3 linked regions of the Mus musculus genome follow. The protein of the gene in region 1 purifies or fractionates together with the protein of each later gene. This does not show direct contact. Links are inferred from orthologs where the notes say so. Each region holds a gene or a part of one and is shown in the gene's direction. Other genes may lie near its edges.

The links. The genes of interacting proteins can lie anywhere in the genome.
Region 2: the proteins of Gid8 (region 1) and Rmnd5a purify together in Homo sapiens (affinity purification with mass spectrometry; 5 studies listed by BioGRID and IntAct, counting the BioPlex papers as one, with this or other methods). This does not show direct contact. The link is inferred for Mus musculus from reciprocal best matches to the Homo sapiens genes GID8 and RMND5A.
Region 3: the proteins of Gid8 (region 1) and Mkln1 purify together in Homo sapiens (affinity purification with mass spectrometry; 4 studies listed by BioGRID and IntAct, with this or other methods). This does not show direct contact. The link is inferred for Mus musculus from reciprocal best matches to the Homo sapiens genes GID8 and MKLN1.

What each region holds. Positions count from the first base shown.
Region 1 is NC_000068.7:180,716,594-180,720,350, forward strand, and holds part of Gid8 (glucose-induced degradation protein 8 homolog), read left to right. Parts: intron 1-265; coding exon 266-463; intron 464-1,244; coding exon 1,245-1,418; 3' UTR 1,419-3,757. UniProt on the Homo sapiens protein: Core component of the CTLH E3 ubiquitin-protein ligase complex that selectively accepts ubiquitin from UBE2H and mediates ubiquitination and subsequent proteasomal degradation of the transcription factor HBP1.
Region 2 is NC_000072.6:71,437,681-71,442,124, reverse strand, and holds the start of Rmnd5a (E3 ubiquitin-protein ligase RMND5A), read left to right. Parts: upstream 1-1,487; 5' UTR 1,488-1,985; coding exon 1,986-2,127; intron 2,128-4,444.
Region 3 is NC_000072.6:31,397,587-31,401,784, forward strand, and holds the start of Mkln1 (muskelin), read left to right. Parts: upstream 1-1,241; 5' UTR 1,242-1,270; coding exon 1,271-1,368; exon of another isoform or gene 1,369-1,611; intron 1,612-4,198. UniProt on the Homo sapiens protein: Component of the CTLH E3 ubiquitin-protein ligase complex that selectively accepts ubiquitin from UBE2H and mediates ubiquitination and subsequent proteasomal degradation of the transcription factor HBP1.

The sequences.
Region 1 (3,757 bases):
GTTTCTTTTAAGATGCCTTTCTTATTTTCTTTTAGGGTGATGGGGTGGAGCCCAGGCATTGCCTAGATGCTAAACAAGTACTTTAACACTATTAGTTAGACACTCAATCCACACATAAGATATACTTTTGATTGGAGCCAAGTGTTGATGGTTATTCATCTAAGTGTATGCCAGCCAAACTTGGTTGTCTTTGCTGTTGACCATACTGGGTTCCACCTACTGGGTGTACAGGCTGGCTAATCTTGTTTGTCTTTGTTTTGACTAGCAACAACACTTGATTGAGCTTATCCGTCAGCGTGAGACAGAAGCAGCATTGGAGTTTGCCCAGACACAACTGGCAGAGCAGGGTGAGGAAAGCCGAGAATGCCTCACAGAGATGGAGCGCACACTGGCCTTGCTGGCCTTCGATAGCCCTGAGGAGTCGCCTTTTGGAGACCTCCTTCACATGATGCAGAGGCAAAAGGTAAAGGGCCAGTAAAGGAAGAACAGAGTGCTTAGACACTCAGAGGACTTGTGAAAAGATGGTACTGTGCTGCGCTTGTGTTGGGGTGAAGCACATGGCTCTGGGCCAGGATACTCCAGTAGAACACTGGCAGCTCCACTGATCTGTCCCCTTTTACCTTGTGAGAGGAAGAGCAGCGCCATTGTGACTGTTAGTGTCTAAAACCCTTTGCCACTTTTTCTTCTCTTAACCTTTTTCCTATCAGTTTAGAGACAGGTATCTGAAGTATTTTCAGAGTAAAATCAGTATAGTCTCCTGAAATGTTTTCTTTTTCCTTCCACATGCTACAAGCATGATAGTTCACTGCTTCCTAAGACCCATGTCTTCCTTTCCCCCTATGTTGGATCCGTTGAAAATCTTGTTGAGGTGTCTCTTTAAAGCTTGTCTGCAGGGTCTCATATAAGCATTGTGAAGCTCCTCTCTGTCAGAGTCCTCACAGAACTGTTGAGGGGAGTCAGGGTACTTAGCCACCCTAAGTCATTTAGTGCCCTTGGAGTGGCTTTTAGTTACTTGTTTCATTTGTTTTTAAGTGACTAACAAGCATCTTGGATGAGAACAGTATCTAGATGGACTGGACTATATAGCTTAGAGATAGAGTGCTTGCCTAACCTGCTTAAGAACCTGGGGTCTCGCCCTAGCACTGGGGGAAAAAAAGATGTCTTAAGCATATTGTCAGGCTTGCTGATAGTGTATGTATGTGGGGGGGGGGGGGGCATCTCTATTAGATGTGTTTCTTTTCTAGGTATGGAGTGAAGTTAACCAGGCTGTTCTGGATTATGAGAATCGAGAGTCCACACCCAAGCTGGCAAAATTACTGAAACTGCTACTTTGGGCTCAGAATGAGCTAGACCAGAAGAAAGTAAAATATCCCAAAATGACAGACCTCAGCAAAGGTGTGATTGAGGAGCCCAAGTAGAGCCTGTGCATGGACCCAGCACTGTCAATAGGCACAGGACTCTCCCTCCTCCGGCTGTGACTGGCAGATTGTCACCACAGTAGAGAACCTTTCCCCTGTACTTTTCTTTGGCCCCATTGTTTAAAAGGGGAAAATGGCCTTTTTAAACCCTGTCAAGCCCATGATGGAAGACACCACCTCTGCCATGCCCTGTATCCCGAGAGCTGCACACACTGCTTCCAGATTGCTGGTTCCAGAAGATGTAATTTGCCACTGTGTGCTGCACGGCTAGGGAGTGTCATCTCAGCTGAAGGCCTCACCCAAGACAGGCAGACAGACATGAACATTACTGATGTGCTTTTCCGACCTGCTATGTGCAGGCAGGCAGGGGTTATCTTCCTGGGTCTCACAGACTTTCATGGTTTTCCTTACCCCTTCTTTTCTTTTTCTTCCTCATTTTGTTCCTTCATAGGAAAAAAATGTATAAATTTGTAAATCTTAATTCAAAGATAACTTTTGTGTGGGTATTGAGTTTGGATCGGTTTTTTGTCTTGGTGTGGGCTGTGTGGCTTTTGGGAGGGGATGTGTGTGAGAGAGGTGAGGTTGTGGTGGTTTTTATTTTTTAAAATATATTTTTGGTGCTGTATGTGATGAGAGACTCATTCATAGTGGATCAATGAATAATCTCTTGTAGGTAACTTTATTTGAAAATAAAGATTTCCTTTTACTTCCAGAATAACCACAATGGCTTCTAAAAAGTTCTCATCTCACACAGCCCTTGTTTTGGGTGTCCTTTACCTTGCACAGGGGCAGCACCTTAACTCACAGCTGAAAGACTAATTGCCATGTGCCTAGGGAATGCCCTGCGTAATAAATAGCAAAGCAGCCTGGTGTTGATGGGATGACTGGCTGGCATTACCCAGCTGGATGTTCATGCTAGCCAGATTGAACTTAAGTCATTTCTTATCTCTTCCTTCAGTGTCAGCAGTGCTGTGTGTCCTGCTTCTCATCAGCCATTTTTTACCTGCTCAGTGGAAGGCAGAAAAGACATTACCTGTAGGGTATGGTATGCACATGTAGGTCGGTGCTCTGAGTGATGAGTGTATACATGTATTGTGCCTGACACCGGTGTGTTTGATTTTTGGCAGTGGTCCAGGCCTGATGGTGTCAGTGCTAAAGGCTGGGGTGGGGGTGCACAAACCTGCAAAGCCCTCAGACAGTTATCCATGGATGTGGATGGTGAAGATGATGTGGGTACTGTCCTTTGGTGGAAGTTCCTGCCTGTCTGACACTAGAGCCAGGAGTTCTGGTACTGGCCATTAAGAAACACTGTTCTTAGTAATTACTGAATTGGGATTGTTTCCCTTGTTCTTTTTTTTTTTTTTTTTTTTTTTTTTTTTGGTTTTCTGAGACAGGGTTTCTCTATATAGCCCTGGCTGTCCTGGAACTCACTCTGTAGACTAGGCTGGACTCGAACTCAGAAATCTGCCTGCCTCTGCCTCCTGAGTGCTAGGATTAAAGTTGTGCGCCACCACGCCCGGTTGTTTCGTTGTTCTTGAGCAATATTGACTAGCTAGGTCAGACTACATTTATTCAAAAGTTTTCTGGCACCTGAGCTGCTCAGATAACACAGCTGACCAGCTGTCTCTATCTTGTTCCCTACTTCAGTATTGTTCATTGGTATCTGTTTTTTACCCACAGGATTCTGTTCTTGTTGGGATGGAATGAAGTGTCTTCCAGCTCTCTGCTTCTACTGCAGAGGGCAGGTACTTTGGCAGTATTTGCCTTAGGATCACATTAGTGACAGACTCAAGGATGAAGTTGTTGCTGTCATTATGACCCTGCACTGCTCTTCTGGTCTGTGAGTAAGGAGTGAGCAGAGCTTTCCTTACCTCCTGGACAGGTGGCTTTTTAACATCATTGTGAGATGTAACCTCCCATCTGGGGTAAGGATAAGAATAAGGTAGAGGAGTTTCAGGAGAGACGTGCCTTTGGTTAAGAAGACATGACAAATAATCATGAAGACCAGAGTCCGGCACCCAGAAAAGTCAGGCATCCCCCAAATTCCTGTCACTTCAGTTCCAAGGAATCTGATGTCCTCTTTGGCCTCCACATACACATAGGCAGGCAGGCACAAGAACACACACACACATACACACACGTCTTTTTTTAAGGCAGAGGAAAAGGAAGTTTTAATTTTCAGGTAGCTAATAGATTAAATGAAACAGAAGTTGGGAAGGAGTATCGAAGATTAAGTGTTTGTTTTTAAAGCACCATATAAAGCCAGGCATGGTGGCTCCTGCCTGCAATTACAGCATTTACAAGGCTGAGGAAGGGTTTTTCCAGTCCAGCCAAGGCTA
Region 2 (4,444 bases), on another chromosome or scaffold:
TAAGATGATGCCAGGCACCCTCGGGCTTGTTTTACAAAGGAAGAGGGCCCTTTCTTCTTTTGGATGCCTGAGTATTTTCACAAAATGGATGGTAGCTAGAAAACCTTTTGAGGAGAATGGCAAGATTGATGGAGCTAAAAGGTTTTTTATTTTCGAGAAGTAGGAATCAGGGCCATCTGCCAAGAAAGAGGACTAAAAGCAAATGGCGTGATGAGGGACAGAAAGGAGCCCTGAAATACCATCAGCTGAACTTCCAAATATCCAGGACCACTAAAGGCCATCATATATAACCACCCGCCCACTAGCTGCCACATTATAAAAACGGAAATTGAACTTTAAAAAGGTTACCACCTGAATTAAAGGAAAAGAAAGACTGTCCACCAGGGTGCTGGCTGTGTTCTAGAAACAAACAGGCCACAACAAAAGGGGTTACCCTTCATAGTATTACTTAAGTGGTGCAACCAAAACAAGCAAAACTCCAAACAATTATTATTTTAGACTTTGACAAGTGATGTGTGAGAGAAAAAAAAAATTGTGCTGTAAGAGATACAATGAATTGATGGAGAAAATTCGGGGAGGCAGAGGTGATACAACCATGGTGGAAGTAGGAATGCTATGAGCAGGCAAGCAAGCTGGCAACTGCAGGCCCAGGAAGGCGGACTCTCCCAGGCCCAGGCTGTGAGGCAGGGACTTGACGAAAAGCTAGTAGGGTAGAAGCCTGGTGAGCAAGAGGGCACAGGCCAAGGCCAGAACCCCGTGGTAAACCAGGGCAAAAGCCCTACGCCAAGGTAAGGGCAAGGAGCAAGGGCCAGGTTGCTCAGCTCGCCCACGCGTGTTCGTGACCGCCGCCAAGATGCCCAGCACGTGGACAAGGCGACAGGGAAGGCCACTTGCAGGCCGAGGGGCGTCAAGAACGAGCCAACGCTGGGCGCGGGCCATCCCTCTAAGAGCTACCACCTTCCATCGGGTTAGTGACCCCGCCCGGGCCCTCCGCCACTAGGCGGCCAGACAGACATCCTTTGGCCCCGGAGGTGGGCCTCTCAGTCGAAACTCCGGCCAAAATTCCATGCGGAGAAAACACAAATTGCAATCAGGGCGAAATCCTGGAGAAAACAGCCCCGTTAATTGCTGTCATGTTTCCCCTCGCGGCTTCCCAGTAGAAGCGCCAAGCTCCGCTCTTCAAGCCAACCCCCCTCCAACAGCGAGCGCATTGGTTTGGCTCCTCAGTCTGGATTGGCTGAAGTTTTACGCCTCGGCCCAGGATTGGAGGATGTTTGTCTCGCTCCTAACCCCCGCGTCGATTGGTCACTCTTCTGCTTCTGGGCGGAGCATCCGGGGACGGTTTCCACCCTCTTGTTTACCGGCCGCGTAGTTGACGCTATCGCTAAAGTTCCCTGTTCAGCTGCGCGGGCCAATTGCGTCGCTCGCCCCGCCCTCGCCCCGCCCTCGCCGCGCTCCCTCACGGCCTCCCGCGTGGTACGGCCCACACCTTCAGAACGCCCGCGCGCCCTCCGCCCGTGCTCGCCCGCTGCTTCCCCCTGACCCCTCGCCGAGTCCGCGATTGGTACGGCCCGCGCCGCCTCCTCCGCTCGTGAGGGAGGCTCGACCCCCTCCCGGGCCGCGGCTATTGGTGCCGCCCGGGAGAACCAGGTCATCGGCCGGTTCCCGTGAAAACAAAAACAATCGGCGGCGCCGCCGAGGGGCGGCCGAACGCGGCGAGCCAGGGGGGCCCGGGGCGAGACGCGGCGCCGGGTAGGGCGGGCGAGCGAGCGCGAGCGGCGGGGCCGGGGCGCCATGGGGCGGGAGGGCACAGGCTGCGCGGGGCTCCCCCGGCGCCGCGGCTAGCGCGCCCGTCTTGCCTTCGCCTCCCGCGCCGCCCGCTCGCCGCCTTGGGGGAGGAGGAGCAGGACGCGGCCTCGGTGGGGCCCGGGCCGAACCACTGCGGACCCCCGGGCGCCGGGGAGCCGAGCGCCGCGGTCTCCGGCATGGATCAGTGCGTGACGGTGGAGCGCGAGCTGGAGAAGGTGCTGCACAAGTTCTCGGGCTACGGGCAGCTGTGCGAGCGGGGCCTGGAGGAGCTCATCGACTACACCGGCGGCCTCAAGCACGAGATCCTGCAGAGCCACGGTGAGGGCGGGCGCGTGGGCGCGCGGGGGTCGGGGCCCTGCGCTGCGTCTGCTGGTCCCCAGGCCGCGGCGACCCGCCCGGAAACGCGGTGGCCTGGGGCGGGGCTGGGGGTCTTGCGGGGTCCTGCGGGCCGCAGGTGTGCGAGTGATAACGAGGGTCTGCGCAGGACTTTGTCTAGTTTTCGGCCTCGCAGACTTTTCTCCCTGATGGTTCTTAGTTTAACGTTCTTAGCTGTGGGTTGGTTTCTACATCATCGGCTGCTGCAACTTCAGAGTTGGACTGATGTGGGCAGGCAGTTCTTCTAAACTCTTCCTAGGAAGCCGGCCGATTTAAACCATTCAGCGTCCCTGCTGTAGCCTCTGTACAGTCCGACCGGGCAGATGTCGAGTTGCTAGTTACTTACCTAGTCCAGTTTGTACTTGTTAATAATCCTTTCAGAAAACAGCTTTTCCGTAGAAGGTGTTTTGCCTACGTTATTTCATCAGTGGCCCTACGTCTTGTACCACAGATGCCAAGGCTAACTCTGAGAAAGAGTTTTGTGTTTTAAAAATAACACTAAAGGTCTGGTACCTTGGAGCCACAATGCTGACTCTTTCTGAATGAGAGATAAAGGACTTGTAATATTATGGATTTACTCAAGAGTCCGGGCCCTTGTCAGTTTTGTGGGCTGAACAGAAATTAAAGGGATATTTATTAGTCAGGGAGAAATGAGGATGTAGCAGGTGAGATTAAGGCAGTGTTAGCCCTGCCTCTCCTCTCCTTTCCTCTACACCTTTATTTCCCAAACACTTCAGTTGTGGGTGACTGCTCCTCCCTGGTAAAGGAGTCTGACAACTTCTGACACAGCTGTCACTTTGGAACGCTGTATAAATATATGCAAAACATGTTGATGGCTTCATGCGAAAAGATTATTTGACTGAATTGATGGTGATGGTATACTTGATGCTAACAGAATAAGGTGGGGTGTGAGAAAATCTGTTGAATTTTGACTCATGAGATTAAAGGGTTTGAATATATGTGAGGTGTATATATAATATATATATATATATATTACATATATACATACACACATATATGGATAGATATAGATATTCTTGGAATATATGTGAGCTAAAATTGGTTGTTTTCTTTTGCTTGTGGTGTTTTGAGGTAAAATCTCTCTGTGTGGCCCAAGCCAGCTTTGAATTTATAATCTTGTCTTCATCTTTCTAGTGTTGGGATTCCCAGTGTGCCCCTCTGTGTTTTCAGATATTTCTAGAAGGACAGTGGAGATCATAGGATGTGAGATGAAAGATCTTAGGCTCTAAACACAACCAAAGTAGAGCAGAAATGAAAAGGGCAGAAAAGGATAAAAAGAGAGCTGCTTAGCTGGTACTTGACATTTTGTGGACAAACCAGATTATTTCAGGCTAAGAAAAAAATAGTGCATACCGAAGTAGAAGGCAGTCAATCCAAGGTGGTCCTAGCTCAGGGCTTAAAGACACCGAACACCCCCCTTTCCCAGAGGACATCTTTGTCTTTTGACCGAAAAGGAGAAAGCCAGTAGGGGACGAGAATGAACATAGGGCCTACACCTGGAGAGGCAGAAGGAATACTCCCTTTTGGGGGACCAGGTCAGAGATTGAGGGGTTGCTTGAGAGAGAAAAGATAGAGAACAGAGTCCTTTCCAGAAGAGTGATTATGGAAGAGGAGAAGTGGTGGTGAGGTTTGTTTTAGGGAAGTTGCAGTCAGTTCCAGATGGTTAAAATGATTGTAAAAATTGCCAGGTCAGGGATTTTAGGCCTCTTTGCTAGTAAGGGAATGTTTCACAAAGCCTGTGGTGTGAGGGGTAGTAGGCACAGTGTATATACCATGCTGTTATAACAGGTAGTGGGGCTTGTTCTTGATTGGCAGCCTCTTTTTTTTTTTTTAAACATTTCTGTGTAACAATGCCTCTGTGGCATCTGTTATTTTCCTTTAATCAGTTGACTAGAATTAAGTAATGAAAAGTAGTTAAACACGAAAGAAATACATACGGATATTAGGTCAGGTTCTTAAGGCAGTCTTGTTTCTTTTGAGTGAAGATAAAGATAAACATGCTTTGGTATTTGATTGCGGGTTTCTTTTTTTCTTTTTCTTCTTCTTCTTCTTCTTCTTCTTTTTTTTTGGTTTTTCGAGACAGGGTTTCTCTGTATAGCCCTGGCTGTCCTGGAACTCACTTTGTAGACCAGGCCTCGAACTCAGAAATGATTGCGGGTTTCTTGAAGCAACTAATTTCTAAGTTAGAGTTTCAAGCAGGTGACGGGCAGTGGATATTATATTTAATCTTAAACCTGCT
Region 3 (4,198 bases), on another chromosome or scaffold:
TCATTACCTCAGGGCTCATACTCATTCCCAACAAAGTCTTAAACACTGAGTATACTTGTGGTCTAGCTGACATTGCTAGTGGTATCATAGTAGAGGCTACTGCTAAAATTTCACCAATGGAAACGAAGCCAATAAAGAATTGGAGAGATTTGATGGGCCGGTTAACGATCATAATCAAAAAGAGTAAAACTATTGGATCATTTATTGAGATACTCTTTGCTTGAGTTTTTAATATCCTCTGGTTGACACAATGATGCAATCCAAACTTCCAGGAGTCCAACCTCTTAGGCAGGGAGTGACACGATTTTGGGTGATGCCGCTAGGTAAGCAAGGGCATATTTATAACCCTGACAAACAGGTACTAGACAGGAGCATTATCTAACTTTGCCACCTATTTAGGCCAGATGTTCCTTTTGTGATAAAAAGCTGGAATGATGCCTGCTGTCAGGCTTCATGAACAGTATGTATGTTGGAGGTGGGTGGGGTGTACTCATTATTCCTTCTGAAGAAGACGCGATCTTTTCTCAAACATCTCTCTCTTTCCAAACATTTGGGCTAAATTTATGTTAAAATTCAAAGCAAGCAGATTTAATGCCGGAGACAAATGATGGCACACAACTTTCCAACTCTGAGCATCTTCCTGGTATGTGGGCGAATGTCATTTCTGGGTACAACGATGCCATCAGAATATTAGTAAGAGAGGCCGACAAGAAATGTTTACAGACTGATAGCAGAACACACTAGCTGTTCCTTTATCTTGCCTCCACCTGACCCTTGAACACGGTGACAAGGACATTTTTACCCCAGGTCAACTGCAGAGACAAAGGCCATACGTTATTATTGCACTTCAATTCTCCTCACCTCTGTTTCCGGAGAGGATTTATAAACAGGCTAGAGCAGTGGTTTCCAAAGTAGGAAAGATGGAAAGATATTCCCTTCCCAAGCTCATCGAATTTTCCCTTCCTATTCTAGGAGACGTTTCTTTCTTTTTTTTTTTTTTTTCAAAATGTCCTTGGCTTTGTCTTTACCTGAGCTTGTATGAAAAGTCCTCTGTGCCACTCCTCTGCCAGCCTCACAGGAAAGGAAAGCCTCCCTGGGAGGGTCAGCTAGGAAAGGACAGCGTGGGAAACCCGAGGAAGCGGCCTCCAAGCAGCCAGTGCCGGCCCTGCGCGGTCGGGTTCCCGGCGCGGCCCCTTTAAGAGCAGGCCCCGTCCCCGCCCTCCTCCTGGCGGGGCTGGCGCTCGGTGGTGGCCGCTACGGTGCTGACAAGATGGCGGCTGGCGGGGCTGTTGCTGTGGCGCCGGAGTGCCGGCTTCTGCCCTACGCGCTGCATAAGTGGAGCTCCTTCTCCTCCACCTACCTTCCCGAGTAAGTGCGGGGCCCCGCGCTCGAGCTGTCGGAGCCGCTCGGTGAGAGCGCGGCCCGCCAGAGCGTGCGGTGTGGGGAGCGGAGCCGAGAGAGGCCCAGGCGGGGCCTGTGACGGGGAACGCGCGGCCTCCGGAGCTTCTCAGTGCGGCGGCCGAGTGCTCCGGCCTGGCGGGCCGAGGCCGGGCTGAGGGCCCGGGAGCGAGCTCCGGGTGGCGGCGGCGAGGCGGGCTTGCGCAGCGGGAGGTGAGGCGGAGCGGAGCGGGGCTCCGGGCCCGGGCCGCGGGCGAGCCTCCCCCGCCGTCGGAGGTGGTCAGGGCGACGACGGGGGCCCGGTCCTTCCCGGACGGCTCGGACAGCGCCGGAGTTCCTGAGCCCGCAGTAAAAGTGCTTAGCTCTGCACGAGTGGCGAGAGAAGTTGGGGAGTCCATCCGCACCCTGGCGAGAACTTGGAGGACTGGCAGAGGGGTGTCTTGGCTTTTTTTGGACGGGGGGGGGGGCTGGAAGTTCTGAAAAAGATAGGGAAGGAGGGCAGGTCTGGGGGCGTGCGGCTTGCCCGAGGGCACCACCAAGTCAGCAGAAATGGCCTTAGGAACACAACGAGGAACGGGTGCAGTTTTCCGTTGCTATTCGAATAAAATTGCTACATCTCCGGAGTGTCCTGAACAGGGAGTGTGTTCCATTCGTATTTTTAAAATTCCTCCCGTTTGTTCAGATTGGATTTCTCGAGTCCAGTCGGTCAGGACTCTGGAAGTTGAAGCTGCGGGTGAAGAGTCAGCCTCCGCGGACTGCCCACCTGCCCTCCTCCTAGTCACCAGGTCAAGGGTTGGCACTGAAGCCTTGTAGCTCCCGCCCAATGAAGGCTGACCTGTGGTCTGATCTGGCCGGTTGTGGCCTGTTGATAGCTGGTACATGGCCACATCTCTGATTGATATTGGAACCCAGCTTTTAATTTGAGGGTGAGCTGGATAAGCACCGACCTTCATTTGAAGTGGACTTGTGGCTGTTCATTCTGTAAACCTCTGTTTTTTTGTTTTTTGTTTTTGTTTTTTTTTGGTAGTTTTTTCTTTTGGAGGTGTGTGTGTGGTTGTTTGTTTTGGAGGCCTTTTTAAGGTTGTTTGTTTTGACTGACTCCTTTGAATCTGAAGATAACATTTTTTTTTGTGTCTAGGTTAGAGAGTTGGTGGTGTGTCACTAACTACCTCGAATGACTTTTTCCACCCCCAGGTCTTTGGTTAGATAACTTACACTTTAGGTTGTCTGCCATCGCTTTACCTTCTGGTGTAGGCATGAGACTGGGATAGCCCAAATCCCAGTTGCATTACCTGTTGTATGGGCATGTTAAGGAGAGAGGCATTTCTAAAAGGAGTCTTGATCTGGTGGGATAGTGGTTTTAGTCAGCCTCCAGTTTGGAGTGGGGACAGCACCTGCTGTTCCAGTTGGACTGCAGCTGGAAGAAGCCATTGCTATAGCTTCCTTAAGGCCACAGAGAAAACAGTTTATTTGCACTTAGTACTTGCACTTAGTGTATCTTGTTTAACCACAAAGACATTTCAAACATATAGTATAGTTTTAATTTTAAAGCCCTTTAGAGTTAAGCAGTCCGGAGTGAAGGAGTGCAGATGAGCATTAGGAAGCTTGGGTTTGAGAACTTTGTTAGGCAGGCTGGTGTGTGTCTGCCTTAGTTGTAAAATTCTTGGTTCTGAACTTAGGTTAGCAAGTATACGTCTTTGTATGACAGGAAGTTTAAGAAAGAGATTGGTTTCCCCGCCCCCTAAAATGACCTCTAATGGGGTGAAACAGTGGAAGGTATTATGAAATGTCTCAAGCAGGTGTGATTTTTTTTTAAGGTCTAGCCAGCTATTTGTTGAAATTGTTCAGCAAAGAACAAATATTTATTGATAGAAATCTAGGCATTTTGGGGTGATGGTAATAATTACAAAAAATGGCAATTACTTATGCCTTTCACATGCTAATCTTTATGAATACTTCAAGTGTTTTAGCTCATTTAAACCTTAACAGTCTTCTAAAGAATCCCAAAAAACTGGGCATGGTGTTGGGCCTGGATGGAGATGCCTGTAATGCAAGCCCTTAGGAAGCAGAAGCAGGAGAATGACAAGTGTAAGGCATCCTGGGCGACATAGTAAAGTAAGGCCAGCCTGGGCTGTGAGATCTGTGTTGTCACCTGTGACCTCAGATCTCCATTTTCCAGATGAGCAAACAGGGATGAGAGGTTCAAATTTGCCTCTGGTCATCCACCTAGGTGAGGACAGAGCTGAATCCAGAGGACCTGCTCCACAGTTCTCCACCCAGTGTGCTTTCTTGACTGCTTTTGTCTGAGGGTTTGTAGAGATTAGAGGGGATTCTGTTAAAGGCGCTTGTGTTAAGTTGTTTATAGACACATACCGGCTGGAGAGAGTTTGTGAACAAGCTTGAGGACCTGAGTTCAAATGCTAACATAGACAGTCTTCAGTCTTGTATGGTGCACTTGTGACCCCATTGCTCTTGGTGGGGTAGAGACGGGAGGATCCCTGGGGCTAACTGGGTACCAGCTTCTAGGTTCAGCGAGAAAAGGAACAAGGCAGAGAGTGATAGAGTAGGCTACCCTGGGTCCTCCTCTGGCCTCTCGGGTGCACAAACACAGTTATCTCTGTACACATAGGTGCATATATACTACATATGGCTAGAACCCTCCCTCCCACCCCCATGAAGTCATGAAAAGGATTTCAATCTCAGATTTCTTTCTAGGACTTCTATTTTTTTTCTAATGCAAAAAAAACTATTTGGACCTTAAAATGTTAAAACAGGTCTAGTTAAAGATCACACTTTTTTT